Linked DNA regions of Struthio camelus. The protein of the gene in region 1 purifies or fractionates together with the protein of each later gene. This does not show direct contact. Links are inferred from orthologs where the notes say so. Each region holds a gene or a part of one and is shown in the gene's direction. Other genes may lie near its edges. The genes, in order: VAPB, PITPNM1, LSG1 and TACC1.

Region 1 (6,847 bases):
AAAATCTTAACCCCTCTTTTAAAAGAGGTGTTTAAGGTGGAAACACTTGCTCAGTTTGAGCTATGGAACCATTACAATCACACTCTGCAGAAAAGGACCTGGGAGTCCTGGTGGACAACAAGTTAAGCATGAGCCAGCAGTGTGCCCTTGTGGCTAAGAAGGCCCATGGGATCCTGGGGTGTGTTAGGCAGAGTGTTGCCAGCAGGTGGAGGGAGGTGATCCTGCCCCTCTCCTCAGCCCTGGGGAGGCCTCACCTGGAGTACTGTGTCCAGTTCTGGGCTCCCCAGTACAAGAGAGACATGGGGCTACTGGAGGGAGTCCAGCGGAGGGCTACGAAGATGCTGAGGGGACTGGAGCATCTCTCCTCTGAGGAAAGGCTGCGAGAGCTGGGCCTGTTCAGCCTGGAGAAGAGAAGACTGAGAGGGGATCTCATCAACGTGTACAAGTATCTGAAGGGGGAGTGTCAAGAGGATGAGGCCCAGCAACAGGACAAGAGGCAACGGGCAGAAACTGAACCACAGGAAGTTCCACCTGAACCTGAGAAAAAACTTCTTCACTGTGAGGGTGACAGAGCATTGGAACAGGTTGCCCAGAGAGGTAGTGGAGTCTCCTTTGCTGGAGATATTCAGAACCCACCTGGACATGATCCTGGGAGATATGCTGCTTGAGCAGGGGGGTTGGACTAGATGATCCCCAGAGGTCCCTTTCCAACCTCAACCATTCTGTGATTCTGTGATGTGCAAAAACCAGTTTTCTGAGCTTATTATTTAAAGTCCACCAAGGTGGCAGAATGCCTGTCTGATTTGGGTGGTGGGGTCTGTCTTCTGTTCATCTCTCCAGAAAATATATCCGGGAACAGACTATATTGAAAATGTGTATGGAAACACAAGGTACAAGGTGGCTGCCATAAGCTCGAGGAATGGGGCCATCATGTCAGAATGATGACACAGGTAAAGCATCATAGCAGATGCAGTTCACACAGATGCTTAGCAATTAACTGTGTACACATTGTTACCGTGCATGCTCTGTGCAGTGTCGTGTCACTTGTGAAAGAGCGATGAGGAGTACAGATTTGCACAGGAGTTTTCTGGTAGTTCCTTCTCACTGGAAATCACATTTCTTTTTTTCCTCACTCCACAGATTTTATAAATGAAAAATTTATCAACAGTGGCTGTGCAGGAACGCTTGATTTCATTTTAAATAGGTTAGCTACGTTTGAACATCAGCTTGAATTTTGTTTAGTTGTGCCATATTCAGAATTAGGCCTGGATTGTAGTAAAAATTGCAGTGTGAATCTTTGAATGGATTGTCAGATCTGCTTTGAAACTCAACTGGAAATATGGCATAATCACCATAGTGAATGATCCAACTGTCCAACCTTAGGGCAGCCTACATCTATGAATAAATATCCATTTTTAAAAGCAGCTTGATTTGTATGCATCCAGCCCTGGCAGGTATTGCATCAGATGAGTTTTGTGTCAAATGAGCAACTTCTACATATGTTGCAGTGTCATTTTTGTAGAAGCTAGGTGACCTGAGACTTTCTCTTTCTTGCTTTCAGAATGCCTCTAAACACAGCTTTTTGCTTAGCTGGGGACAATGCAGGGATCAAATGACCCTTGCTAATTCTGCCCACATCTTACAGTCGCACTCATTTTTCACTCTCTTGTTACCATATTGGTCTTGTGTTTGCTCCCTGCTGGCGACAATTAATAACTATAGAAAGCAACTCTGTCAGTTGTACTAGTCGGTACAATAACAGCCTTTTTACTTTTTCTGTCAGTGCAGTTGGTTGGCTTTGAAAGCTTTATTGATGATGTTTGTAACAGTTTTGCTTGTGGTAACAGCTGTTGTTTCAGACTGACATTTCATCTTTGTTTTTGTAGGGAGTATGATCTTTCCCATTATCATCGTGCTGCTAGAAGCCATTTTTTTCTCCGAGTAAATTCTCGTTGATTTAAGTGACAATATGGTTAGATTAAGGACTCTTTCCCAATTCAACTTCTCTCCTCTCTGAAGGAGGAAGTCCTGCACTGTGAAGACAGTTCCCGCAATAAGAAGCGCTGAGGCCTCCCTTCGTTGTCTTTCCACGTGATAACCAGGGCAGAAAAGCAGCCTCTTTTGTGTTTGTATACCAGGATTTACGTACCAGTTTGTCTAAAGTAAGGGCCAGACTCATGCCAAATCTGCCAGAGGGCTTTTGACCCAATATTTATTAAATATATAAATCCTTTCATACCGTTGCCTTGTAGACCGAAATGGAAACGGTTTGTCTGCAGAAGGCATATAGGATATTTTCTGATATGCCTGGACTACTGCTGAGTTTGGAAACGTGGCCTGCTGGGCAACCTTGTCGCAGAGGGCAGTTTGTGCCATCAGTCTGAAACAGCTGTCACAGTTTTGCTGCCATTGAAAATGCCTGTAAAGCAAATCACCATTTCCGTGTTTAATTCAGTGTAGGAGTAAAATGCACATGGATAGGAGTGTCTGACTGTTTACACTAGCAAGACACTCCAGACTCAGTTGGCTGAGTCTGTCCTTCCTGCGTTTTAACTGCTCTGAAAATTGCCTACCTCAACTCTAATTCATCTGGCCTCAAAAAATTTTTTATAGATTGGGTCTTGCTGCAGCCTGCAGTACTTTATCTCACGTTATTAGAAGTGCTTTATGAAAATAATCTCTTTACTAAATTCCTTTAGTGACTAGTTCTCTCAGCTGCAAATGAAGTGCCTCCTGCCATCATGCTATGGATTAAAGATTTCATCGTTCTAAATTTAATCCTCTTTTCTTGGTTGGTTTCCACAACGAGGGGTGGAAAAAATAGAGAAGGGGGAGGTTTGCCTGGTGATCCAGTTACTTACAACACAAATTGTAAAACGGTGTAGGTGTGGGACTCAGTTTCAGTATCCTTTCAACATCCGCCAGCCCATTTGAGTGAGGCTTCTGGCTATGTAGAATAAGCAGGTATCACTGTTGCCTCTCTTTCAATAACCATGACATTGTAGTAACTGTTCCGCTGTCAAAAGAGAGTATGCCACTATTTTCTTTTTCATACCTGGAGAGAGGTGGTATAGATCATATTTGCGGATGGAATGAGCAATGTAATGTGGTGTGTTTGGGACTCAGGATGTGAAAGCACTGTTGAGACAGAGATATACCTCTGAAAGGTAGCCAATTCTTCTGTCAGTCCCTTGTTTATTCCATTGTATGCAGAAATAAATCTCTCTGAAGTTTAGGATGCAGAAAAAGATATTTCTGCTTGCGTGCTTTTGTTGCTTACAATATCTGTAAATAATCGTAGGATGTAATAAAATTCTGAAGAAATCAGCACAAGCAAATGAGCCTTTTACAAAAATTACTTGAAGGGCGTGTTCTTTCCTTTCTCTTGGCAAGCTTATGTATGGCTTCATAGTTCTTAAAACTGCGAAGTCAAACAGTTAATAATCCTCTTCTGAAGATGTAGAAGGTGACAAACATTATATACTAATTGATATCCTGAAAATAGTCTTCAGTCTCATATTTGTGTTTGTGTCATTTTTTTTCCCCCCCATTAAGCATGAGACATGCTCTGGCAAAAACAGGTTGTGCCAAAACAGGCCGGAGAAGGACACTGATTAATCCATCCAAATGGAATAATTTACAAACTGTAAACCCTGCTCCAAGTTTGGCATGTGGAACATGTAGTATAGTTGTTTTTCTCTGTTTTCTTTTTCAGTCTGGGATTATTTTATCAATTAGATAATTTTTAAAAAATAATCCTTGGCATAAACTAATGCACGGGGAGCGATTTGGATGGTATTTTAATTTTTGTAATAATTTTTTCATCAAGGTTTCTACTGCTTGGCACAGCAAAAGTGAAAATGACCATTTCCCGTCCCTTCCACTTCACTTCAAGGGCTCCTTTGGGTGAGGATAGTCATGGTAAGAGTAAAGAAAATGATCCCACAAGGGCACAGTTTTCTAGGTGCTTGTATGTGAAATCTGGGCCGAGATTGAAAGGGTTTACACAGGAATGGTTTACACAGGAATTAAGAACTGCCTGAGTTTTTCTTAAAAGTAGTTCACAAATTGGGATTGTTGGATCCTTTCAGTAAGTTACTTTTGAAATAAGATGTTTATGCAACAGAGGCACTTCTTGTTTTTCATTCTTCGACGACTTTGATTTCAAAAGTTGCTGATGCTCACTTAATTAGAAAGGTCTCCAGAGTCAGATGATGATGATGATTAAAACTTGGCATTCAGTGCTTTTTAAAACACTAATCTTCACAAGATTCTCTGTAATTAGGTAAGTATTCTCCTGACTTCACAGGGAGAGAAACTATAAGGGTCCAAACCTGCTTCTGTTTGGAGTCGCTGTCAACTCTTAAGGCTTTTAATAGCAGAAGATCAAGCCCTTAAGTGATTTGTTTAAAGACAAGTAAGATGGTGGGAGAATTTGATTGGATCTTAGATGTTCTTGATTCGCAGGCACCTGGCTGACAGCTCAAAACGTCTTGCTTGACATTTCAGCTTTTTTCACTTCAGTGTTTATTTTTAAAGGTCATCAACTTTATATATGACTTTAAAGTAAGTCGGGTTACGCACCTAGTATTGAGCTCTCTTGACAGTCTTTGGTTTTGCCATCAGTGTTTTTATTTCGACTATCTCTGTTGCTGATACAGTCCCACATAGATAAAATGGGAGAAAAACGTGGAAACAAAACAGTAAGGTGACTTCAGATACTGTCAGAGGCGTAATAAGGAAACTGAGAAACAACTGAGGTGCGATGGTAAGAAGGACTCTAAGTAGAAAGGCTGAAACATGCAGATGGAGGCATGCCTGAGCTTTTGGATGTTTGTTTCATTGGGGGTGCTAATGCTTACTCAGGCTCTGCAGTAAGTTCCCATCCCAGTGTGAGGGGCTGAGGAAGCTGCTGGGGAGGCATTTCCATGCCCTGCGGCCAGCAGCAGGTCTGTGACGGGAAAGGGAAGTGTCATATTCACCTCCTGTACTTCCACCCCCAGATGCATGCACATAGTAAACCTGACTCTTCCGGTGGATGAATGAATTGTTGGTCCATGTGGACTTTCAGCAGTCAGGACACATCTTGCTAATAAGTAGGATTTGGGCTCTTGAGAATAGCTACAAAACAATTTAGGTTTCCCCCTCTCCTAATCTCCACCTATTGAAGGCTCCGTGGTTACTTTTCTGTGGCTGACCAGTATATGCCAGGTGATTAATGACTTCCGTCTGACACGTGGACAGGATTAGACAGTGGTGAAATAAGTCTTTCTCCTCCTATTCTTGCTTTCTGCTACTTTCCACAAAGGAGCAAGAGGGATTGCCTCAGCAGAAGCACTGGTTGTATTTCTGCCTTTACCAATTACCTTGCCTTTGGATATATGTCTGTGTTACTGAGTTGGAGTGCAAAAATTGTTGTCTGGGGAAAGGTGATGAAAATGCATCTAAAACATTCTGGGAATAACTTGGGCAACTTCCTGAGAATTTATTCTTAGCCTTGTTAATCAAAATGATTGCCAGTTTAACATCACTTCAGTGAATAGATTGTATCGAGTGCTACTGCAGCACATTTGCTCTGAAAGGCACCGGTTCAGTAAATTGTTTAGGGGATGCCCAGCTTTAAGCAGATGAGAATTTGCATTGGATTCAGACACAGAGAGTTAGGCACGTGCCTTAATTACTTTGAACAGACCTGTCAGCATGGCAAGGAAAAGTGTGACTGCAGTGCGTACACCTAGACATGCCAGCTTTAGCTTACTAAATGTGAGATCTCATTGCCTTAATTTGGCAGAAGTCTGTAGTGCAGGAAGATGCAGTTTTCCTGATGCTGTTTTCTGAGTGCTGCACGGTCTGCCTGGAAACTGATTTTCCTTTTTCTCTTTCCCGCTGCCACCCCCTCCTCACCCTTTCTTGTTACTGGATTAATTTTCAGCCTAAGCAGTTCCATAACCTGACTGTCTGTCAGCTCGACAAGCACAGTGCAAGTAGCACAGGTAAACGATGGGGATGAGAGCAAGACAGACTGCTGCAAGGCTAACGTGGCCGTGGGACTGTGCCCAACTAACATAAGCAGTTAATACTGAAGATATAGTAGTAGTATGTGCACGTGCAAGTCTGCAGAGGATTATGCCTCTTTGGTTTGAAAGTTTCTGCCAAAGCCTCTGCTACCAAATCTTTGCTTCTGTTGACACTCGCGCTAACTTTCCTTTCACACGCCAAACTAGGTTACGGCAGTCATATTTGCATTAGAAGTACACGTGTGTGAGGGTTGTTAACTTGTGGTGCTGATGCAAGGAGGTTTGGTTAAGAGGAGAAGAATTTTATTAAGATTCTGTGCAAATGATGTAGCTGTGTAACATGTATCACTTGCTTCTTACAGTAACCGAAACTTAGAGAAAGTACCGTGATGCACAAAAAGTGATCAGCCTGGATTTGCTGTTACAAGCATGTGCCATGTTTTTTTATTGTGATGAAGCTTATTTAAAATGTAAATAGAGTTGACATCATGTTCTTTTGACCTAATTCTCAGGCTTTTGTATTATTACCAAAATGATCTGGGATATTATAATGCACTACACTGCAGAATGGCACTCTTAGGAAAGATTGATACAGCGCTGGTGTTTGAATAGGAAATGGAGCGTGGCAAATTCTGAGATAATACTGTGATCTTCAAATGTGAAGGGTTGTATGCATAGCCCCTGGGTGGAAAGCTACAGCTGTAGTTTGAAACTAACCCTGATGAAAAGTGATTCTATGAAAATCAGTTATACATCTTTCAGTTACACATCTTGTTGGTTGTTGTTACATGAACATGGGATATCTTATTTTCTTTTTTTTTTTTTCTTTA
Region 2 (7,974 bases), on another chromosome or scaffold:
AGGAGACCCCTAGCTCAGCCTGCAGCGCGGGAGGAGCCCCAGAGCGCGGGCTGGGCTGGGGCAACGCAACGCCCGAGCCCTGTAGGCAAGGCCCTCACTTCGTCAGCACTGGACTTGCTCAGACTCATCCTTGGCGGCCTGCCTGCCCTGCTGCCAAGCTGGAAACGCGGTGCAGCGCGCCTGGGTCCGCACCAAAGCCCTTTCAACGCAGACTCGGCAGGGCTTTGGCTGCTTTCGCCCTGATCTCTGCGCCGGATGGTTTACGCTGCACGGCTCTGATGTCTCTCCGAGTTCCCCGCTTTGCAACCCCTCTTGTCCTGTTTGCTGCCCCCCAAACCTGGCAGCTCCCCACCCTTAACCTTACCCTAACCTTAACTCGGGCTTGCCGTTCCCTTAAACCCGGAGAAACGTCTCCATCCCCTGCCCTGCAGCTGTGGTCCAGCTCCGACCTCCCCGTCCTTCCCTCCCTGCGCTCCGACCCTGCTGGCTCGCCGCTCCGGCGCTCATTTCGGCCCCGGTATCCAACCGTTAACGCCGAACCCTCAACCACCCCCCCGGCCCCCGGCCGCCGCCGCGTCGTGACTTTGGGGCTGACTTCGCAGCGTCGCCCAGGGCCTGCCTCCTTCCGAGCTGTGCGCGCTAAGCCAAGCCCTACCGGGCGCTGCTCAGCCCCAGGGCCAGGCAGGTGCGCGCGGCTCTACCCGCCGTCCCACCTCGCCTGGGCCAGGCGCCCCTTTTGCTTCCCGGCCTTGAGCTTGGGGGCCAGTGCGGGCCCTGGGAGCTGCTCCCTCCTACCCCGCCGTCCCCCCCCAACAAAGGAAGCCAGGGAGCGCTCCTCGGCGGCGCTTGGGCCTCTTCGACGGCGTAAACCCCTCGAGGGGGAGAAACGGAGAATAAAATCCTGGTCGTTCTTCAGCCGGCAGTGGAGGTGGGGGGGCCGGGAGGGGGGCCGGTGGGAAAGACAGCGGGGGGGCTGAAAGGGCGAGGAAGAAGGGGAGGGGGGGGAGGCGGTCTCCAATCCCAAACTCGGTGGCGGCGACACCGCTGCGAGGCCGCCGGTGGGGAGGGAGGAGGCGGCGGGTCCCGTCAGGAGCGCTGCCTCCCCCCCCTCCCCCCGCGCCGAGCCGACGCCGCGGGTCTCCACGGTGACCGGGGTGAGGGGGGGGGAGGGAGGGAGGCGACGCGGTGACGTCAGCGGGGCGGCGCGCAGGCGCACAGGCGGTGGCGGCGTCATCAGGGCGAGCGGTCACGCCGGGTGCGGGGGGCAGCGGAGCGTCGAGCCGAGCCGAGCCGAGCCGGGTGGCGTTCCGAGGGCGGCCGAGCCGGCGCGGCTTCCCGCGGCCCCGGCGCCCACCCGCCCTTAGCGGACGGTTGCGGGGGGGGGGGGTGGTGGGGGCAGCCGACCCCGTGGCGCCGGGTCCCGGCGCGGGGCGGGGCGTGGCGAGGGCAAAGCGGCGGCCCAATCACCGCGGAGGTGGAGGGGGGGGAGGGCGGTGAGCGGCGGCGTCGCCCAATCGGCGTGAGGCTCCGCGCCGGCCGGCCAATCGGCGGCGGCGGCGGCGCGCGCGGGGGCCGCCCACCAACCCGCGGCGCCGGAGCCGCCGCCGCCGCCGGAACCGCCGCCGCCGCGCGGGCCGGGCAGCCGGGAGCGGCGCGCGCCGTCGGGGATGTCCTACAAGCCCATCGCGCCCGCCCCCGCCACCCCCGGAACCGCCGGCACCAGCACGAGCAGCAGCGCCAGCCCCGCCCCACCGGGGCCGGGGGCCCCGCCCGCCGGTGAGAGCCCCTCCCCCACACACCGGGAAAACCGTGGGGCAGCGGCTTCCTCCCCCCCTCCCCCCCCCCGGGGATGCTAGGCCGCAGCCGGGCCCGGTGAGGGGGCAGGTGGTCGGAGGGAGGGAGGCCGCGGCAGCCGGTTCGCCGGTAACCTGCCCTTTCTCTGCCCGCGCCGCCAGCCACGAGCGTCCCGTCGCCGTCCGGATCCGTGCCTGGAGCCGCTGCCCCCTTCCGGCCCCTCTTCAATGACTTCGGCCCGCCGTCCATGGGCTACGTGCAGGTGAGCTGGGACCGGGAGCGGGAGCGGGGCGAGAGGCCTTGCCCGCGCCACCCTCACCCCTCTCCTCCCCATCCCTCGCAGGCGATGAAGCCGCCCGGGTCGCAGGGCTCCCAGAGCACCTACACGGATCTGCTCTCCGTCATCGAGGAGATGGGCAAAGAGATCCGGCCCACCTACGCGGGCAGCAAGAGCGCCATGGAACGGCTGAAACGGGGTACGGGGCCGGCCGGACGCTCCGGTTTTGGGCGGGGGGGGGGTCCAGCTGGGGGGCCCGCTGTCGCAGAGGGAAAAGCCCCCCCCCCCCCCCCCGCCTTGCATGCACGAAGCCCGCTGAGCCGTCGCCAGCGGACCGGCGCTGCTCCGGGTGTCTGAGGGGCTGTCATCTTCCGAGTACGAGCGCGCCGTCGCGTTGTCGCCGCGCCAGGCGCGTTGGCGGTGCCGCCCTGCTGGCGCGTCTCCCTTGGCGTCGGAGGCTGGAGCGGCAGCTGGTTATTCTTGCGGTTCTCTCCCTTCCCTTCTCCCGAGTGGGGTGGCGGTGGGGGGGACAGAGGAGATGTTTTGGCCCGGGTTGAAAGCTCGGGTTTCTCCATGCGGGACGCCGTGCTCTGCTGCTAGTCTCCGCTGTGACAGCAGCGGGAGAACCTCCGTCCCGCACAGGCTTGGAGGGGAAGGGGTACAACTGAGCTCTGCTTACCCCACCGGCTCCTTCTCCCCTTGCTCTGAACATGTCGGGGGGTTGGGGGGGGGACACACACGCAGAGCTGGGACCTTCGGTTACGGACTCGGCTGACGCGCGGTGTCCCCTGTGCTTCTCCCCGTAGGCATCATCCACGCTCGGGCGCTGGTGAGAGAGTGCCTGGCGGAGACAGAGCGAAACGCACGCACGTAACAGCCGCTCTTTATGGACCTTTCTGTCCATCTCTGCATCCGAGACCTGGAGGTCGTCCATCCCCGTGAACCTTGCCACCAATCAGTGTCTTGAGAGCCTGGTTCTCCCTTCGCTCCGTACAGACCTTTTTAGCTGACGGCCGCCTGATCCTCGGCAGCTGCCCCGCTGCTAGGCGGCGCCGGGAGGCCGGCCTTTTGCTGCGTGCTGCGAGCACCTCCAGGGCTTTTCTTCTCTCTTTATAAATGCTTGTTTTTATAAATAAAGGAAATTGTTGGGATTCTGCTCTGCCTTTGGCCCTTGTGCTTCGTCCCCTCTGCTATGGGCAAGGTGGCAAGGCTAGCTGCTCCCCCAGTTCAGCCCGGAAGCTGTGGAGGAGCTGGCACGGCTTAATCTCGCGTTTGGGGTCAGGAGAGCCTCTTTTGCTGGAGCCCAGCCCTGCGCTTCACGATGAGATAAGCCACGTGCGTGGCATAGCCCTGCAGGCTACGCCGGTGGGCCAGGCGCTAGGGCAGCCTGCCAGGCCGAGTCTGGAGCTACGGGTTTTGCAAGGAGACCATCGTGCTGCCCCACTGCGTGTGTCCTGCCCCGCGCTTGGGGAGTGGGTGCTGTCTGCTCCAGGAGGGAGGGCTGAATAGCTCAACAGTGGTGGTGGGGTCAGCCACCCTGTACGCTGGGGGACGCGGAGGTGACATGGCGTCCTTTCTGTGTGCGGGGAGGGGATGATGGGGCTGCAGGAGGAGCACTGAGCTGAAAGGGATTTTTAGTAGAGCAGGGCTATTTTTGGAATGAGAACAAGGCCCGTTTGCAGGTTGAGGAGGCTGGGACATCTTAGAGCTCCCTTAGAGCTATGAGGTGTGGGTGACCAAGAAAGGGGCTTGACCGAGTCCAGTGTTCCCGCGTTAACCCCGCAATGAGGCAGAGGGGACCGGTGAGGAACATGTCTTTGGGGAAAAGCAAGGGCAGCAGCTGCTTTCGGACCGTGGCTGTGCTGGCAGAGGCCAAGGTGAGCCTGGTGGGGCAGGAAGAGGCAGAGGTAGGCAGGGTAGGAGAGGCGCAGGCAGGGAGGAGCGGTTGGAGCACGGCTTTAGGAAGGGGAAGTCGTGCCTGATGGCCTTCTACGATGAGATGATGGGCTTGGCGGCAGAGAGGAGAGCAGTGGACGCTGTTTATCTCAATGGTGGTGAGGCTTTCGGCGCCGTCCCGTAAGACACACTGAAGCACGGACTAAACAAACGGACGCTGAGGTGGATTGAGACCTGGCTGAGCTGCCGGGCTCAGAGGGTTGTGATCGGTGGCACAAAGTCCAGTGGGAGGCCAGCCACGAGCGGTGCATCCCTGGGGCTGATACTATTTAGCATCTTCATTAGTGACCTGGATGATGGGACAGAGCGCACCCTCCGTAAGTTCATGGATGACACAAACCTGGGAGAAGTGGCTGACTGACACCCCAGAGGGACCTCGACAGGCTGGAGAGATGGGCGGAGAGGAACCTCATGAAGTTCAGCAAAGGGAAACGCACAGTCCTGCTCCTGGGGAGGAATAAGCCCAGCCGCCAGGACAGGCTGGGGGCCGACCAGCTGGAGAGCAGCTCTGCGGAGAAGGACCTGTAGGTCGTGGTGGCACCAGGTTGACCATGGGCCAACAGCATCCAGGGCTGTGTTAGGAAGAGTGTGGCCAGCAGGGCGAGGGAGGTGGTCCTCCCCCTCTGCTCAGCCTTAGGTGGGCCACATCTGGGGTGCTGGGTCCGGGCTCCTCATGGACCTGCTGAGGGCGAGTCCAGCGAAGGCCACGTGGACGATTAAGGGACTGGAAGCATCTCTCATGTGAGGAGAGGCCAAGAGAGCCGCGGCTGTTTAACCCACCGCCCTGCTCTAGGTGCCCTGCCTCAGGCCCCGGCCGACCCCGGACGGGGCTGCCGGCGCAGCGCCTCTTCCCCGCTTTGATGTCACGGTTTTCCACCCGCCCTCCTCCTCCTCCCCCCCCCGCCTCCGACGTCACAGCCGTCTCCAGGGGAACGGGCTGTGATGTCACAGGCCGAGGGGGCCTGTGCGGAGCAGCGCAGGTTCGGCGGCAGCGCTGGGGCCGAGCCGAGCCGAGGGGGCGCGTTGCCATGGGAGCGGGGGGGGGCCGAGCCGAGGGGGCGCGTTGCCATGGGAGCGGGGCGGGGCCGGGGGGCCGAGCCGAGGGGGCGCGTTGCCATGGGAGCGGGGCGGGGCCGGGAGCGCGGCGGCGGCGGCGGCGGCGGCGGCGGCGGCGGCGGCGGCCGGGCCGTGGCCGGACCGGGCCGGGCCGGGGGCTGACGGCGGTGCCGGCCGCAGGCGCTGCCCCCCGCCGCCATGCTCATCAAGGAGTACCACATCCTGCTGCCCATGAGCCTGGAGGAGTACCAGGTGGCTCAGCTCTACATGATCCAGGTGGGCTCGGCCACCTCCGGGGGCGGCGGGGCGTGCAAGGGCCCGTGGGGCTGAGCGGGGAGGTGGGGGGTGCAGGGGCGCAGGGCGGTGGGGCTGAGCGGCGGGGCGTGCAAGGGCCCATGGGGCTGAGCGGGGAGGTGGGGGGTGCAGGGGCGCAGGGTGGTGGGGCTGAGCGGGGAGGCGGGGGGTGCAGGGGTGCAGGGCCGTGGGGCTGAGCGGGGGGGGTGCAGGGGTGCAGGGCGGTGGGGCTGAGCGGGGAGGTGGGGGGTGCAGGGGCGCAGGGCGGTGGGGCTGAGCGGGGAGGCGGGGGGTGCAGGGGCGCAGGGCGGTGGGGCTGAGCGGGGAGGTGGGGGGTGCAGGGGCGCAGGGCGGTGGGGCTGAGCGGGGAGGTGGGGGGTGCAGGGGCGCAGGGCGGTGGGGCTGAGCGTGGAGGCGGGGGGTGCAGGGGTGCAGGGCCGTGGGGCTGAGCGGGGGGGGTGCAGGGGTGCAGGGCGGTGGGTCTGAGCGGGGAGGCGGGGGGTGCAGGGGCGCAGGGCGGTGGGGCTGAGCGGCGGGGCGTGCAAGGGCCCGTGGGGCTGAGCGGGGAGGTGGGGGGTGCAGGGGCGCAGGGTGGTGGGGCTGATCGCGGAGGCGAGGGGGTGCAGGGGCGCAGGGTGGTGGGGCTGATCGCGGAGGCGGGGGGGGCGCGGGGCCGTGGGTCTGAGCATGGAGGTGGGGGGCGCAGGGCCATGGGGCTGAGCGTGGAGGTGGGGGGTGCAGGGTGGTGGGGCTGAGCGCGGAGGTGGGGGGGGGGTGCAGGGCCGTGGGGCACCAGTGAGCCTGCTATGCGTACAGGGGTGGGAGTGAGGTTTGGGGGGGGACGGTGAGGGACACAGACCAACAAGGCTGAGCGTGGGGCTGGAGCGGGTGTCGGGGGGTGCAGGGGCGGGGGGGGGCGGCTGCCTGGGCGAATAGGGATCTGGGGGGGCGTGGGTGGCTGCGGGCGCCTGTGAGGTGCTGGGCTTCGGGGGTGCGAGGCTCCCTGGGGCGGGCGCGGAGGTGCGGGGGCAGAAGGCTGGGTGAGGAACGGGGAGGGGGGGGGGTCTGTAAGGTGGGGGGGGGGCCGATCCGTGGCGGAGTGGGGGGGGGTGCAGCTCGGGCCGACCCCTTGCCCTGCAGAAGAAGAGCCGGGAGGAGTCGAGCGGAGAGGGCAGCGGCGTGGAGATCCTGGCCAACCGGCCCTACAGCGACGGCCCGGGGGGCAGCGGGCAGTACACCCACAAGATCTACCACGTGGGCTCCCACATCCCCAGCTGGTTTCGGGCCCTGCTGCCCAAGGCTGCCCTGCAGGTGGAGGAAGAGTCCTGGAACGCCTACCCTTACACCCGCACCAGGTGGGCTGCCGACGGGGGGCTGCGCGCCTCCCGACGCGGGGGACCACCCTGTCTCTGCTTCCCGGGGGGCCCACCGACCCGATGGGTGGCCTTCAGAGCGGGGCGAGCTGCTGGACTCGGTTACCCCGCGTCCGGCTCAGCCCCCTTCCCGCTCCTCCCGCAGGTACACCTGCCCCTTTGTGGAGAAGTTCTCCATCGAGATTGAGACCTACTACCGGCCGGACTCTGGCCAGCAGACGAACGTCTTCAACCTGAGCGCGGCCGAGAAGAGGCAGAGGATTTTAGGTAGGCGTCTCCGCTGCTGGCCTCCGGGCCGCCGTGGGGCAGGGATGCCGCTGCGAGCCTCGCTTGGGGTGCTGAGTAGGAACTAGTTCGCAGCGAGGCAGAGGTGCGTGCTGCCTTCCTGCGGTGCCCGGCGGCACTGGACGGGTGCCTCCGGGTGGCTCGTGGCTCAGCGTCTTTAACAAGCCGGGCTTTACTTACCCTGGGGTCTCTTGAGTTGTGGGGACTGCGGCAGCGGGAGGCACGTGTGCCCCGATCTCCCTGCTCAGGCCGCACGGATGAAATAGCTTCCGCGTTAGAAGTGTTAACGGAGGACGATTTTGTCCCCTGCCGCCTTCCCTGGGCTGTATCTGTATTTCCAGCTCTTCCCTTCCCAGGCCCTGACACCCCAGTGCTGGCAGCGGAGCTGGTGGCAGGCTGCTCCCTCCTCTTTCCTTATCCCATCCCCTCTCCCCTGTCGTTTGGCGCAGCTTCGCCTTCCTGTGTCCTCTCCAAGAAGAGCAGGTGCGTGTGGGAACCCACAGAGGGCTCTTGGAGGGGATTTAGGGACAGGCCAGGGCTTAGCTGAAGAGGGGGAGCTGGAAACGACTCCCTTCCTTCAAAGTGGCCGCAGAAAACGGGTGCGAGTCTCGGGAGGAGACAGATGAAATCACTTCCCTCCGAGCACCCCCGTCCCTTTCCTTCCGCCCTGCTCCTCGCTTCCCTGCTTTCCCCCCCCACCCCCCACCCCGTTCCCTGCATCACTCTCGTGCTTCCAGGAAGCACGAAAGCGGGGTTGCGGTGGGAGAGCCTGGATGCTCAGGTGGGATTCAGCTATCGCAGGGAGGTTTTGGCGCTTGTCACTGAAATCTCCCTTTCTGGGCGGTGGAGAGCTCGTCGTTTTAGGTGCTGGAGCGCAGCGTGCTGCGCCGCCTCTTAAAATGGAGGCCTTAAAATAGGCACGCGGAGGAAATGATTCAT
Region 3 (7,532 bases), on another chromosome or scaffold:
CAGCGGACGGGGAGGAGGAGGCACAGGACGCAGCACGTCCCCCGCTTTCCCCATTGATCCCAGGCCACTTGCAGGAACGGCCTTTCCAAACATGCCCTCGCTGGCCAGCCCTGTTCCAGCGGCTCTGCAGACCCTGGCGGGAACGCGTGGTGTCCACAAGCCTGGCAGCAGCCCTCCTGGCTGAGATAAACGCCTCAAGCCCATCTCTTCCTATGCTCGTGAAACACTACCTTCTGCAGCTGAAAAGGGAGAGATTCCAACAGAAGCAATTTTGCACGGAGCAAAATTGTTTTCCGGTTCTTTTAGGGAGGTGTTTCTGGGGGGTTTCTTAATATATCTGCTCTTCAGGATCGAGCTGGTAATACCGCTGAATCAAGCCTTGTGAAACTACATGAATAATGAATGGCCATCACATGAATATTTTAGAGACACAGTCCTGAGATCTCCCAGTGCTGCCTTAGAGGAAAATGGAGGAAAAGTTGTCCAGAAAGAACAATGTTTCCTTTAGGCAAAATGCACTGGTGTCATTGGCTTTTGAAAACGAGCTCCTGCTACTAAATAATTCTCAGGATTTGCATCAAAAACTGGAGCAGTGGTTTTGCTCCGAGGCAAAAGAAGTTGGGAAGAGAGCCAGTCTTTTTGACATGAGAAGCTGCTTTCACCGCACTAGGAGAGCAGACTTTTACTTCATCTATGCAATAGTTTTTGCAAGAAAAGTCCCACAAGCTATGGCCACCTTCCAAAAAGCCGGCAGTACTTGGCACTCAAGTAATGTAGTTCAAAGAGGCTGTGAGAAGTGTTGGTGATACACAGGTGTTGCCTTTTCTCCAGGGACGGTGCTGTGCTCCAGCCCAAGCACGGGTCTGCGCTGCCAACGGCTTTCTTAGAGCTGAGCTGTAAAAGTGAGGCCCAGTAGTGAAACCTGCGCTCGCTTTGGACCGCAGAGTAACGGCTGCTTCGTCCGGGAGCTGTCTGCCAATCGAAAGCTCGTTGAACTTATCGGCCAGATACCGCTCTCCTCCGTGCTCTCGTCAGCTGTCTAAGCTCTTGACACCCGCACCCGTGTACCCGGGCCGCCGCTGTATAACTCTCGAGACAGTATCTCTTCTTCAGTGGCCTTTCTCACGCTGGGTGATAAATCCATACACGAACACATTCTAGGAGAAGCAGATTGTCGCGTTTGACGAAACATTTCTTGCTCAGGTCGGCGCAACGGAATAATACGAGTGGGATGAGAAATGCTGCAATTAAGAATAGGCAATGAAGTATCTAACTGAGGCTCCGATGTCTCTGTCGCTCGGATCACCTAATCTATATGTGTTTCAGCGTTGTTCTGCTCAAAGCAGTCCTCGCTGACGCACTGTGCTGCTGGCATCAGCAAACAAAACTAATTCCTTAGGGTTTACGAAGCTCCTAGAAATATATCTGTGGCAAGAATGAGGGCAACTTGGGCATTTCTTCAGCAGCTCCCACCAAGGTGGCAGATAATATCCACAGTGACCAGCCGTGCAGCGCTTAGGACTGGAAACGAGGAATTGTCACAAGTTAGCAATGCATGGGGGGGAAAAAAAAAAATCCCACTCAAAATTCATAGATCTTCACTTTTCCAGTTACCATCAAACCTCACTGCCTACAGGGTGCGCACAGAGCGTTGCAAGCCAGTCCTGGGCAGGCCGCAGGTAAAGCGTGAGCCTCGCTCTAACCCAACGCCCGCTGCCGGCTCGTTTTCCCTCGGCTCCAGCTCCGTCTGCTTGTCTCTTCAACAGGCGGCTGGCAGGGGCACGGCCTGGCGCTTGCCACGCCAGCGTTTGCAAAAGCTGAGGACCCTGGGGGAGGACGCTGGCCCCGTGGAAGCGCTTGGGGGCCATCGGCAGTTGGATCAGCGCCCCACGTGCTAACGTCGCTGGCCGCGTGCTGCCCTCATCCCGCGGGCGTTCGCTGCAGGAGCGGGCAGCCGCCGGTGCCGTCCGAGGCGGACGCGCAGCCCGGGGGCCCCGCGCAGCCCGGCGTCGGCCGCTCTGCGTTGATGACCAGGTCGCTCGCCGAGGAGCCGCGGCGCCAGGCCTGCGCGGAAGGGATGAAAGAGTTACCCGTCTCCCTGGCCAGCCTGGGAACGGCATCACGCGCGCCTTGGGCGTCGGGCTGCCAGCGCTGCCAGAGCCAGCCGGTGGGGAAAGGCTGGGCTGTCTGGCTGTTCTGGTTGATGGTTATGCAGTGTAGAAGGAAGGTAATTTTTAACTGAATTATTAAAGAAATACGGTAATGAGTGCTCATATTGTTGCCTCTGTGCCTGCAGAAAGGCCTGAAATGACTTTATTAAAGCCAGGACTTGATTAAAAATGAATCTATTAAATCACCGTGTGCTGTCTGCAGCTCACCATCCTTCCATTGAAGCACCTCTCGTAATGAAAACGCAAACACTGATTTCCCTTTCATCTTCCTCCTTTGCCTTTTGGAAGAAGAGGAGGGAACGGGGCAGGTTGTGTATGATGGGAGAGCTTGGATGAGCATGGCAGGGATTCAGATTTGCTCTGGGAAAATTGTGCTTTACAGTTGCCGACTCTGGAAAGGAGAATAGAGGAAGTGCTGCATCTTTATAACAAATGTTTATCATGGGGAGGCATCGCGTGTGTTAAGCATGAGAGAAGGCCATTTCTACCCACCAAGCGTTATATGCGGGCATGCTTCTGAGGACTAGCAGCCACAGTTAAGAAACAGCTTTGCCTCTGAATGTAGGCAGCGCCTGTATGTTCAGGGGGTGAGATAGATTATTCTGATTACAACTAATACGCACTACAAAGTTATAGTAAGAAATGTCTGGCTTTAATCCAATGCCCATAAAGGAGAAATGGTTCATAAATCAGTTCACCTCAAAAGAACAGGTTGAGTTGTTTATTAATTTACCCTTCTCCCCCATCTTGACCTGGACCCGTTGCAATGGCTGCTATTTGAACCCGTCTGATGATTCCCTGGCTGGGCAGGCAATATCTTCTGTGCTAAAGATATGTGAAGGCTCGATATTAGCAGCTGTCTCTTAAAGCACTTTGCACATCTGCATCCCTGAATCCCTCTTTGTTACTGGCCCAGAAACAGGGAGATTATTGTATTTGGCTTCTTGAATGGAGCATCGGACAAAGGTGAATCAGCAGGCTGGTCTCGCTTTGTGTTTTACAAGGCGGAGAAAAGCTTTAAGTCCATAGGTCCGTTCTGGCTCACGGGGTTGTCACCACCGTTCTTCATGTCCGTCATCTGTTGTGCGGCAATGCCTGGAGACCGGCGACGGGCAGCCGGCGCCCCGGCAGCAGCGCTGCGTGACGCCCGAGGCTCCTCGTCCCAGCGAGCCTGCAGCTTCCATCGGGAAAAGGTACCCAACCTGCCCGCCCGACGGCAAGGGTACTAGCACGAAGGCGCGGCTGCGGACCTGACTGCCTTACTTGCCTCCTGGAGACAGCGTCGGCGCAAGGCCAAGGCGGTGAGCGGAGCCGGGCTGCCCGATTCGCCCCTGCCCACCGCTGGGCTCCCGGGGACGGCTGCCGCCTCCAGCGGTCTCCTAGACCCGCTCCAGGTTTAACCTGCCCGCGTAGGCGCGGGGCTGGCACGGCAGCCCGGGGTGCTGGGGCCAGAGCTGGTCCGCGGCGGACGGCGGACGGCGGGGCCGTGCCGCGGGCGGGCGGTCAAGGCAGCGCGTGGGCAGACGGGCGGACCGGCCAAGGGGCTGAGTGTGGACGGACGCACAGACAGAGGGCACAGCTGTCGGTGGACACACGGACGGATGGACGGATGGATGGACAGATGGATGGATGGATGGACGGATGGACAGATGGATGGGTGGATGGACGGACGGATGGACGGACAGACAGACGGACAGACGGATGGATGGATGGATGGTTGGATGGGCGGATGGACAGATGGACGGATGGATGGGTGGACAGATGGATGGACGGACGGATGGATGGGTGGACAGATGGATGGACGGACGGATGGACAGATGGACGGATGGATGGACAGACGGATGGATGGATGGACAGACGGATGGATGGGTGGACAGATGGACGGATGGACGGATGGACAGATGGACGGATGGATGGACAGACGGATGGATGGGTGGACAAATGGATGGATGGACGGATGGACAGATGGACGGATGGATGGACAGACGGATGGATGGGTGGACAGATGGATGGATGGACGGGTGGATGGATGGATGGGCAGATGGACGGACAGACGGACGGATGGATGGACAGATGGATGGATGGATGGGCGGATGGACGGACGGATGGACGGACGAACAGACGAACAGATGAACGGATGGATGGAGGGGCAGGCCAGCACGCGCACCCACGGCCGGCCCGAGGGGCTAGGAAACGCCATGGCGGGGCAGGCGAGCCGGGCCGGAACGGCGCTGCCCGGAACCTTGTTCCGCGGCGCGCGCGGGGCGGCGGAGCGCTCAGTGCGGTGCTCGCCCGCCGCCGTCCGGACGAGGCGGGCAGGGGGAGGCCCCGCCCCTCCACTTCCGCTTCCGGCGGCGGCGGCGGCGGGTCCGGCATGGGCAGGAAGCGGAGCGCGGGGCTGGGCCGCTGCCTGCTGCGGCAGCGCGGCCCGGAGCGCCGCGGCGCCGCCTCATGGGTAGGGCGGGGGGCGCGGGGGGGGGTGAGGGTTGGCCCGGCCCGGCCTCACGGCGGCGTCTTGTCCCGCAGCTGCACGCCAGCGAGGTGGGCGGCGAGCGCGGCGCGGAGCGGCGGTCGGCGGCCGAGCAGAGCCCGCTGGAGGAGTTCCTGGCCACGGCGGAGCTGGCGGGCACCCGCTTCGTGGCCGGTGAGCGGGGCCGGGAGCGGGAGGGGTGCTGGGCTGGGGCCGCGGAGGGGCGTCCGGGCAGCGGGGCTGGGGCCGGGGACCTGGGGCTGGCGGCCAGGAGCGGCTCTGGGAGCAGAGAGGACCCGGGGCCAGGGAGAGGGGGCTGGGGCTGGTGTGGGGCAGGGGGGGCCCGAGCCAGCGGGGGCCGTCAGCAGGGCTGGAGCGGTGATAGCGGCCGCGGGTTGGTGACGGCGTCAGCGGGGCAGGGGCGAGGAGAGCAGGTGCTGTGGGTGACTGTGCCTGGTCTCTCTCATCCTTCCCACAGAGCGACTGAACATCCAGTTTGTGTCCGCCCAGACCCGCACCGGTCTCCTCACTGCCCAAGAGGCCCAGCGTGTCCGGCAGCTACATGAGCAGAACCGACAGTTCCTGCGCATCCCTCGGAGGCAAGTCGTGCTCCTCGCATACGGACCGGGAGCGGGGCTGGACTGGGCCTGGCTGTGCTGAGGGAGCTCAGCCTTTGATGGCTGTGAGCCACAGGACTGTCCTTTGCTTGCCAAACCCTGTTTTTGGGGAAGCAACTACCTGGTGTGCGCAGACCTGCTGTAACCCGCAGCTATAGGTGCCTGCCTGCCGCACAGGTACTGCCAGCCCCTCTGCCTTGGTTTTGTGGGATTCCTGCTCGCAGCCTGGCACTGTTGGAGCTGGTGCCTCTGTGCCCCAGGCTGTCTCCATCTGTCAAGCCTTTCTGAAGCTCCATGTGTGCTGGACAGAGAGATGAATCCCCTGCCTTAAATGCCCTGCAGATGTTAGCTGGGGAAACTAGCTCTGTGAGATCTGTTGCGTATGGAATAGCGTCCCATCACTTTAGATGGTGGAGTTCAGAGGGAACAAGGAGTACTTCAAACTGCTGAAAACAGGTGCATGCACGTGTAACAAAAACCGTCTCAGTGTAGCTGAAACATGTGTTGCCCATGTTTTCCCTGGATGCTTATTGTACTAACGTTATTGGTATAACTGCACTAGTGTTTCTGACCACTTATTCTAAAATGCGATTGTTAAGGCCGTACTGGGATAGCACAACCAGTGCAGAGGACTTGAAGCAAGCTGAGAGAGAGAGCTTTCTGGAATGGAGACGACAGCTTGCCCAGTGAGTATGCCACTTGTCTCTGGTAAGTAGCGAGCGGGATGAGGAGATGAAAGGAGCAGGCGATTGTGTTTATCTTTGCTGGACACGTAAGGATAATCTCGTCAGCTGCTCACTGTACTTTTTCTGAAAGGCTGGGCATCCCAGCCACGGTCCAGACGCACCTTTGTGGTGAGCTGACCGTAGTTTTGCTGTGCGTGCAAGTTCTGCAGTGTTCACAGTCCACATTCTTGTAGTACCTACCCATACATGCTTCCCTCTGTTTTTCTGAGTTGTGTCATCTAGTTTTTTAAAGGCAGTGCATTCAACATTGCTGCTGTGATTAGCTCATGTTCAGGATGGGGTGTGATGTCCTGCCCTTGCCTGTTAGGTGGAGGTGTGATGAATATGTGTCTTTGAAGAGTAACAGTGCTGGTCTGAATTTCTAGCTTGGTGCTGCTGGCCCTGCATGTTGGTGGCTTTTGCTAGCCCCACGCTGCCTCTGCTGGTCTGGAAAGTTGTTTCTGCACACAGCGAACCCAAGCTGGCCCTGAGCAAGCTCACTCTGGCTCTGGTAACAGTGAGTCAAAACTTGTTTAGAGCCATTTCGAGTAGTGTTTCCCAAATTGATTATTTTTACCAGAGCGATTACTGAAGGATAGCTGGCATTTGGGATGTCTCCTTTGATCTGGTTCAAAATTGCATCTCTGGAATGTCACAGGTAGTCTATTGATGAGCTTGTGCCCTTTCTGTCATTTGTCGTTTCTCCATTGATATGGTCAGGAGCCATTGTGTCATCAGTGAACCAGTGGCGCTGACTCTGATGTACCTGGACACGATTTGTTTGTAAAACCAGCAGAAACGGTGCCAAGTATTAGAGTCTGATTTTGACACCTTCCTCTGAAAGGAAAGCCTTCTGGATCTAAGAACTGGTGTGATTACTGTCTGACATGACCTGAATATGATGTCTTTTTTCTCTTTCCGTAGCCTTGAGGAAGAAAAAAACTTAATTCTCACCCCATTTGAACGAAACTTAGAATTCTGGCGTCAACTTTGGAGAGTCATTGAAAGAAGGTAATGAATATCACTCTCTGCTTTTGAAAATTATGTTTAATGTTTTTTCCTGCATCGAACCAAAGCATTTGAAGCAATTATTAAGTGTCCAAGCACAGGGAAAATAAAGAAGTACTGTTAGTAATGTTTCGTTATCAGCACTGAAGTGGTTTTGTTTTGAAGTGATCAAAATATGTTGTTGGAAAGAGGAGCAAATAGCAGTGCGGTTCTGGCTCTCAGCACTGCAGTTCTGCTGGTAGGTCACTGTGTGAGTCTCCGCGAGCTCTTCAGCAGCTGCAGCTCTGGCCTCTTCCAGTAACTCTGTGTGGGAGGTGCCTTTGAGAATGTCTTTTGCCAACAGTAACACTTGCCCCTCTCTCAGCCGCACAATCATACCGTGACATTCAGGGGCAGGAGACAAGGGAGAACATCTAAGTAACGTTTGTAAAGAAAGAGCCTCTTGATCTTTGGCTGCTTGCCATGCAGAGAGATTGCAGCAGTGCACAAAAGCCTGTCACATCACAGAAATGGCTTTGTTTGCTCTGCAGAGCTGTAATAC
Region 4 (7,456 bases), on another chromosome or scaffold:
GCGCACAGCCCCAGCACCCCCAGGGCTGTGGTCGCCTGGGGCCGCGGGGATGCTCCCATGTCAGGGATGACTGTCATGGGCTGGGCGCTGTCAGGCTGATTTAACTATCCAGAAGAGAGGGACGAAATGGGAAAAGGTGGCAGCTCCACTCCTACGTGCCAGTTTTACTGGTCCCCTCCCCTTACAGAGCACCAGCTATGCTGGATGATGCCAGGGCCAGGTGCTCAGCACCCTGGCGAACCTGTCCCGACACAGACCGCCAGCTTTCTCAGCTGCAGAAGTCAACAGGAAACATGCATTTTGTTTCTTTAATTATTGTTGCAGTTATTGGCGGAGGGGGGAGTGGAGTTCAAAGCACGTGCGCTGCAAAGCCAACAGGGTCCAGGCATGGCCGGTAGCTGCAGCCTCTGCCGAGGACGGTGCAGGCAGTCACAGGCTGTTGCAGCGTCACCGTTGCTCTTGCACGGAGGGGTGGCGTGAGCTGCCTCGCGGGCCGTGTGCTGGGGCTGTCTGTAGAAGGAGCGAGCGGGACTGGTGCTCTCGTGACGTTTGTTGACGTGAAGGGGGCTGTGAACCTGAGGCAGCCCGAGACGTGCTGGATCCTACCCCCAGAGTCTTTGCTTTTTCAGAGGAACAAAGTATAAAAACCCGAGGTACTTGTTTAAAAAGAGGCAGCTCCAGGAAGCAGAGCTATTTGTCTGCCAAACGAAGCAGGGCACCCATGACGGGTCTCCTGGGACAGGGGACACCAGGCTGCGCTCTGCCCCGGCCGAGGGCAGCCCGCAGGGGCAGCACCAGCCTCTGCTGTCCCACGAATTGGCTTCTCCAGGCTGCCAATGGGAGAGGTTGGGGCACCTTGGGCAGGACGGTCTAGGCTGTACGTCGGTGCGTGCCGCCGAGCCCGCTGCGCGTTGGTGCAGCGCCGAGCCCCGGCCGGGGGTGAGGGATTACGGCAGTGCGAAGGACGGCCTGTCCAGCTGCTGTGCGTGCAGGCTGCAGCTCGCCACGGGGCTTGTGCGGTGGAAACTGCTGGCAGGTCCTGTTTTGAACAGGTCAGCTTCCTCTCTGCTCTGCAGAAATGTGCCTGCTGACTATGCAAGCAGCGTTTGGCAGCCAGAGCCGCTGGCCTGGCTGACAAAGTCAGGTTATCTCCTCCGTGTTTGATCTGCTGCCGGCTGGGTTCGGAGCCAAGCTGGAAAATGCCACTCGAGGCATTTTCTTAATTGCTCGTAGGAAATGGCAAGCGGAAGCAGGCTCTGCTCTTTAACTGCTCCAATATCTTCCTGCCCCAGGGCGTGCAGGTCAGGAGCTTCGCAGCCCGTGCCCGTGCGGTGCCGTTCAGTCCTGCTGCTCCTGTCCCTGCTCCTTCCTCGTCGGTGGCAGCTGGAGGAGGGTCCTCTCTCGGCAGCGGTTTGTGCAGCCTTCACAATAGAAGGATGCCGCTAATTTCCTCTGCGGTTGGTTCATGTGTCCCGCTTCCCTCATTCAACAAGTGGGGGGTTATAAAAGTAAATATCTATATTCTTGGCTGATGTAGACCCTTCCTCTCTGCAGCAGAGGCGAGCCGCTCAACCCAGACCAGCTGCTGCTCCTTCGCCATTCACATTTCCATTTTCCCCGTGCGGCGCCGGCAGGACTCGAGCAGCCGTGTGCTGGTTTCACATGCAGCGATGCAGATGCTGTAGCTGGGTCTTCAGGTTCATGAAATGACTGACAGAGGGAGAGGGAGGAGGAGTTCAGGTTGCAGTGTGTCGTGCTGCAAAGCAATTCATGCCACAACACATGCCTTAAAAATCTCCTTATGTAAAATTCATCTGCAGAAATCAGCCTGCGCTCTGCCACTCCGGATGGTGGGAAGCAGGAGGCTGCTCGTTTCTGCTCAAAGCAGACACAGCCAAGAGGATGCTGAGCTTCAGCCTCTTGCTTTTTGGATAAGCTTTAATAAGGCGCTTAGTCCGCTTGTGGCTCAGTGAAGCAGGTGTGAGCTTTATCTGGCTCGGCTCTCTGCAGATCGCGGCTGGGTGTGTGGGTGCAACATCAGATCACTGCTTGGACGTGTGGCAGTATGCAAATGATAGCACCTCTGCTTTGCCTGAGCCAGAGCCAGAGGTGTTTTGGGGGAAATTTGGAGAAGTTGTATGGTGGGGGGGGTAAGAGATTTTCTTTTGACAGAGTCTTGACCATAAAAGAGTGCAGCAATGACGCATCTGTTTAATAAAGACACCAACAGATGGAAGCTAGGCAGAAAGGTTCCCTGCAGGGAGGTTATTTGAGATGCTCCATGACGAGGAATGAGGCCCTTTGAAGTATCTGATAGAGGCTGGTTTTAGAGCGAGGTAGCCAGACCAGATGGGTGGGTCTCGGCTGATTCAGCCATGCAAAAGCATTCCTCGCGCGCAGAGCTAGCTGATGATTCACAGAAAAGCATCAAGCTGTGGTCTTGGCCTGCCACGTGAGCACTTTGTGCAGTTACTGAGGGCCAATAGCACTTCTCTGCAATGAGCTGGGCTGGGCTGTACAACCGGACAGTAGTCTTCCCTTTCCCAGAGCTTCCTCGGACCCGCCAAGGGCAGCGGGTGGGGAGCCAGCCTTGGGCGCACAGTGCAGATGCATTCACCTGGTCTGGGCAAGCCGCCGGCTCCGGGAAGCTGTGGGCACTGCGGCAGCAACTGTCCAACGCCAGTAATGCCGCTGCCTGCAATAGATCTGCTGCCGAAGCCCTTGACGCGCCTCCTGGCACTGCGGCCGCTGCAAGGCTGCTAACGTTAACACTTCTCTCTCTAGCAAGCAGGGGAGGTGACGACCTGGAGAGCGAAGCCCCCAGAAGGGGAGGATGCCCCAGGGAGGCCAGCATGCCAGTATTTAGTTCTTCAGGGACTGTTTGCTGTTATTCTTAAACAACAATAGTTTAATAAATAAATCTGCTGTCATGGAAGGATATAGCATCAGCCAGAGCTACTGAAGTCGGCATTTCCCTGGAAAATAAAGGGGCAGGTGTTTCCCGGTCTCTGCTGCCTGTTCCTTTGCTTCTCCGCATGTTGGATGCCTCAGGAGCACTCTCTGCTCCGCCTGATCTGGGCTGCCACTCTTGCACGGGAAGCAAGGCTTGCTTGTGGCCTGCTGGCCACATGGGGACCCCGTGCATGAGGACCTCGCGTGCCTGGGCCGGCCGCTGCGGTGCTGCAGCTGGGGCGCAGCGTTTGCTGGCCTACGCGGTGTGGAAGGAATCTTGCAGCTCGCCTCGTGGTGGGATATGTTACAGCACAGGTGCAACCCTGGATAAGTGTGGGATAAATCAGGGAGGGGAGATCTGGTTTCAGAGTCACCCTGCCCTGGTGCACAGGGGTTTCCTTTGGCCCAGTGTGGTGTGAGGGGCACGAAAGGGTAGTGGAGCATCCTGACGTGAGCATGTGGAGGGCGACAGTGAATTAGGCTCTGGTATCTGTCTGGGATTTAGGAGCAATGTGCATAAGCCTGGCTGTGGGTTGTCAGCCTGCATTAACCTGCCCACAGGGAGCAGTGGAGATGCCCCTCCATGTTTAGCATTTGTGCAGAAATAAGTGGTTTTGAGAGTTTTTGGGTTAGGGTCTCCGTGGTGCACAGCCTGTTTCCTAAGCTGGGCTTTGTTCCGTGCGAGGAATGCAGCGGCGGGAGCGGAAGGGGAGCCCTCCCGGCACGGCCTGCAGGTGCTCACCTGGAGAGCGCTCGGCATCTGGGGCGTTTTGCTGCTCTGGACAGCCTGACCGGGAGCAGGGGAGAGGAGGGGCAAAGCAATCAAATGTAGCACAGCGAAAGCCTGCGATTATGCACTCCCAGCCCTATCCCATCGCTGCGGCACGGGTGGGAGGGGAAGGGGGACGCTGCTGCGGGCTTCCCTCTTCCCTCCTCCCCGCCCGGCGCTTGCAGCTCGGCGAGCCCGCAGCCCGCCGGCGTCTCCCGGCGAGGTCCGACCGAGCCGGGCGCCGCAGGGGAAGCGCGCTGCGGGCAGCCGGGCCGGCCGCGCTCTCCCTGCCGCCAGTAGTACCGTCCGGGGGGGCCGGGGCTGCGCGGCGCCGGCTCTGGCAGCCGGCTGATCCCCGCGCCAAGGGGCTGAACGTGCCGCCGGCGGGTCCGCGCTGAGCGCCGGGCGCGGCTGCAGCGGGGAGGCCGGCGCGGAGCGGCGCGGAGCGGGGCGGCTGCAGCGGGGAGGCCGGAGCGGAGCGGCGCGGAGCGGAGCGGGGCGGCTGCAGCGGGGAGGCCGGAGCGGAGCGGCGCGGAGCGGAGCGGGGCGGCTGCAGCGGGGAGGCCGGAGCGGAGCGGCGCGGAGCGGAGCGGGGCGGCTGCAGCGGGGAGGCCGGAGCGGAGCGGCGCGGAGCGGAGCGGGGCGGCTGCAGCGGGGAGGCCGGAGCGGAGCGGCGCGGCTGCAGCGGGGCGGTGCTGCCGCCCGCCCGCCTCCGCCTCCGCCGCCGCGGGAGGAAGGCGCCGCGCGGCGCGGCCGATGCTCCGCGCTTAACCGCCTCCGCCAGCCGGGCTCGGGGGCGTCCGGCGCCCGCCGCCTCGGGGGGGCCCCCCCGGCGGAGCCGGCCCCATGGCGTTCAGCGCCTGGCAGATCCTCTCGCCGGTGCAGTGGGCCAAGTGGACGTGGTCCGCCGTGCGCGGCGGGGCCGCTGCTGGAGGTGAGGATGGTGGGGGAGAGCGAGGAGGAGAGGACGACTCGCAGGCGGAGAGCAAATCTCTGGGTTTCAGGCAAGTACGCGGCATCCCTGCTTCGCGAGCTCTCGGGTGGTTGCGCTCGTCCCCTGCCCGTTAACCTCCCGGCCCCGCTGCCTTGCACGCGCGCTGGCACTCTTGGCACGGCACGTCCTCTCGGGGACGGGGGCGGAAAGGCTCGGCGGTGGCGCTCCGTGTCCTGCCTGCGGCGCCCGCCCTGCATGCGGAGCTGCTCCCGCGAGCGTCATGGCTGTGCCGCGCGCGGGCCTGCCCCTGCGAGCCCGCCGTCCCCTCCGCTCCCCGCGCGCTGCGCTGCTCCGGCTTGCTTCCTCTGCAGCGCCGGGAACCTGCGTGGCTCCTGGGCGTTCAGCTCTGTGGATTTTGGGAACTGTTAGCGTTAGGGAAAGGCAGCGGGAACAGAGGGAGACTCTGGGCTCTCGGTGAAGATGCTAGCAGGCGTGGGGCAGGCAGATGGAGGCTTGTTTTCTGGACTTCCTAATGCTCCAGCCCTCTGGAGCTGTAGAGGAAGATGTGGGCTAGGCTGCCACGTCCGTGGAGGTCAGTAATGGGTGCTGAGAAAGACCGGGGTGACGGGGAGGTGTGACGAGAGCAATGTCGGGGGGAGACACCTGGGTGCTCCAGACGCATGGCCCAGGAGCCGGGCTCGCTCGGCCGGGGCTGCGCAAGGGGATGCTTGTGATGTTGTTTCACCTTCTCTACCTTTTCCGTTTGCTAGCGTGGCCTGCTGGAAACGGAAGAGCAGCAGCCGCAGGATGCCTTCTCCGGGTCGGCCGGTCCGGCCCAGGAGCCGGCCTGGCTGGATGTGTAGGGCATGTGAAGGATGTCGGAGCTAGCCAGGAAAGCGGTAATTCCTCACTGTTTTCCCCCCCTCGGCAGCTCGGACTCCGAAGGTAATTTTGAGACCCCCGAAGCAGAAACACCGATCCGCTCGCCCCTAAAGGAGTTCTGCGAGCCATCGCTGGGATCGCGAGAGCCGGAGGCTGGGACCCAAGGTAAGGCGCAAGCGTGCATCTTCTGCTTTTCGGTTTTCTGCTCCGGATGCAGAAAAGCGGGGTGGGGTCAGGGAGGAGAAGTTGCTTGTGTTGAATAATGCCTGCTGCATTTTTTGTGGTTAATGGTCTGGATGGTTCAAATGCCAGTACTGGGGGCTGTGTGTGCTCTGCAAAGGCTGTTCTTTAACTGACGTTAAATGCTGACTTTACTGAATCATTTTGGAGGGGAGGGGGCTGTACTGCAGGCTTGAAAGAATCGGTTGGGCTCCCCTCGGCTCTCGCCTGTGCAGCCTGAAATTATCATGAGGCCGTTTTGCAATCACCGGTCACGCTCTCCTGCTGTCCCCACGCCGAGATAGGGGGTGAGCGTGCGCGAGGCTGCAGAGGGCAGAGATCCCTAAGTCGGGTTTGGGGAGCCGCCCCGGCAGAGGCGGTGCCCGGAGAGGCAGGGCCTGCAGCCGGCCGGGCTGCGATGGATTGATCTAGAGGAAGAGAGGGTTTTGTTGAGTCATTTTGTCTTTTAAACTGCCCTCTCCAACTTCCCCCTCAGACCTTGCCGGGCTCAGTAATACCTCCCGCTGCCTCCGGGTGTCGGAGGGCGGGCGGCGGGAGCTGGCTTGCGCATGCTTCGCCTGCCACTTGCGGTAGGAGAGACCTGCCCTTGTCACAAGAGCTGACGCGATGCTGCGTTCTGCTGTCGGCAGCCGAGCTTTCATCGCACAGATCCTTTTTCCCTAGAGTTAGTAGCCTGGCCTCTTCCCTGCGTATCTGCTGTTAAATATGTGAAAACCTGAGACTGCTGAACCCCATTACTGGAGAAATTGCCAGGGACCTTCGGAAAGCCCAGGGGATTTCCTTTGCCCCCAGGAGCCCGTGCGGTAGCCGCTTTATCTGTGCGTCTCGCCACAGGCTGCTGCGTCTCTGTGCGCGACTCCCCGTTAACCCTTGGCCTTTCTGAGCACCACCTCCCTCCCCTTTGGCTTTATCCCCCCCTTGGAGGGGTCTCGCAGCTGGCAGCACGGAGGGGCCGGCCCCTGGGGCGGGAGCCGGTTCTCGTGCCGCAGCGACGAGGCTCCGAAGCTCTGGCATCCCTAGCGAGCGCAGAGGTTATCGGAGGCAGGGCTCCGGGGAGGGGACGCCCCCTCCTTCCATCCGCTCTTCCTGCAGAGCAGGATGACTGGGCAGCGTCAGGACGCGGAGACGTCCGTAAACGCCCAGGAGCGTCGGCCGGAGGGAGGCCTGCCCCAGGCGCCGGCGGCATCTCCGGGGCCGGGAGCCCCCGGGCGGGTGCCCTGAGCCGCGCTCTGCCCCGGGCTGCAGGGCAGCCCCTGCTCTGTTCGACTTTGGGCATCTCTCCAACGCTCATAACAGCGCCCGGTCGCTTACCAGCACCCAGCGGCTTCCTGGAGCACCCCGGGTTTCGGGGATGCGCTCGCTCGCTCAGACCGCACCCCGGGACCTCATTACCAGGACAATTCCCTTGCAGGAATTAAGATCATTTCTGCAAGAGCTTCTGTTCGAGAAAGTGCTTTGCTTCAGACCCTGGGGAGTTACTGTCCCAAAAGTCTGAGAAAGTATGTTTTGTGTGCGTGTTTCCTAGGAAGAGCAGTTCCTAAAAGCAGTGGCCGAAGCCAGGACCCAGCGCACGAGTGGGCTGGCCAGCAGTGGGCCGCGGGCACGGCACGCGCGCGTTACCGGGCCGCGCAGCCGAAGGCAGGGTGCTCCCCAGGGCGGGCTGCTTTCCTGCTCGCTTT

Evidence for each region.
Region 2: the proteins of VAPB (region 1) and PITPNM1 purify together in Homo sapiens (affinity purification with mass spectrometry; 5 studies listed by BioGRID and IntAct, counting the BioPlex papers as one, with this or other methods). This does not show direct contact. The link is inferred for Struthio camelus from reciprocal best matches to the Homo sapiens genes VAPB and PITPNM1.
Region 3: the proteins of VAPB (region 1) and LSG1 purify together in Homo sapiens (affinity purification with mass spectrometry; 3 studies listed by BioGRID and IntAct, counting the BioPlex papers as one, with this or other methods). This does not show direct contact. The link is inferred for Struthio camelus from reciprocal best matches to the Homo sapiens genes VAPB and LSG1.
Region 4: the proteins of VAPB (region 1) and TACC1 purify together in Homo sapiens (affinity purification with mass spectrometry; 3 studies listed by BioGRID and IntAct, counting the BioPlex papers as one, with this or other methods). This does not show direct contact. The link is inferred for Struthio camelus from reciprocal best matches to the Homo sapiens genes VAPB and TACC1.

What each region holds. Positions count from the first base shown.
Region 1 is NC_090959.1:13,524,995-13,531,841, forward strand, and holds the start of VAPB (vesicle-associated membrane protein-associated protein B/C), read left to right. Parts: upstream 1-3,834; 5' UTR 3,835-3,860; coding exon 3,861-3,921; intron 3,922-6,847. UniProt on the Homo sapiens protein: Endoplasmic reticulum (ER)-anchored protein that mediates the formation of contact sites between the ER and endosomes via interaction with FFAT motif-containing proteins such as STARD3 or WDR44.
Region 2 is NC_090946.1:5,609,269-5,617,242, reverse strand, and holds the start of PITPNM1 (membrane-associated phosphatidylinositol transfer protein 1), read left to right. Parts: upstream 1-4,963; 5' UTR 4,964-5,007; intron 5,008-5,263; 5' UTR 5,264-5,281; coding exon 5,282-5,359; intron 5,360-6,517; coding exon 6,518-6,732; intron 6,733-6,895; coding exon 6,896-7,017; intron 7,018-7,974. Other genes in the region: CDK2AP2 (cyclin-dependent kinase 2-associated protein 2), read left to right, coding at 1,668-1,776, 1,956-2,056, 2,138-2,270, 2,878-2,945. UniProt on the Homo sapiens protein: Catalyzes the transfer of phosphatidylinositol (PI) between membranes. Binds PI, phosphatidylcholine (PC) and phosphatidic acid (PA) with the binding affinity order of PI > PA > PC. Regulates RHOA activity, and plays a role in cytoskeleton remodeling.
Region 3 is NC_090950.1:18,428,941-18,436,472, forward strand, and holds the start of LSG1 (large subunit GTPase 1 homolog), read left to right. Parts: upstream 1-4,530; 5' UTR 4,531-4,545; coding exon 4,546-4,626; intron 4,627-4,697; coding exon 4,698-4,815; intron 4,816-5,119; coding exon 5,120-5,240; intron 5,241-5,857; coding exon 5,858-5,944; intron 5,945-6,907; coding exon 6,908-6,994; intron 6,995-7,532. UniProt on the Homo sapiens protein: Functions as a GTPase. May act by mediating the release of NMD3 from the 60S ribosomal subunit after export into the cytoplasm during the 60S ribosomal subunit maturation.
Region 4 is NC_090968.1:7,287,474-7,294,929, forward strand, and holds the start of TACC1 (transforming acidic coiled-coil-containing protein 1), read left to right. Parts: upstream 1-4,453; 5' UTR 4,454-4,567; coding exon 4,568-4,725; intron 4,726-4,740; exon of another isoform or gene 4,741-5,218; coding exon of another isoform or gene 5,219-5,247; intron 5,248-5,586; coding exon 5,587-5,702; intron 5,703-7,456. UniProt on the Homo sapiens protein: Involved in transcription regulation induced by nuclear receptors, including in T3 thyroid hormone and all-trans retinoic acid pathways. Might promote the nuclear localization of the receptors.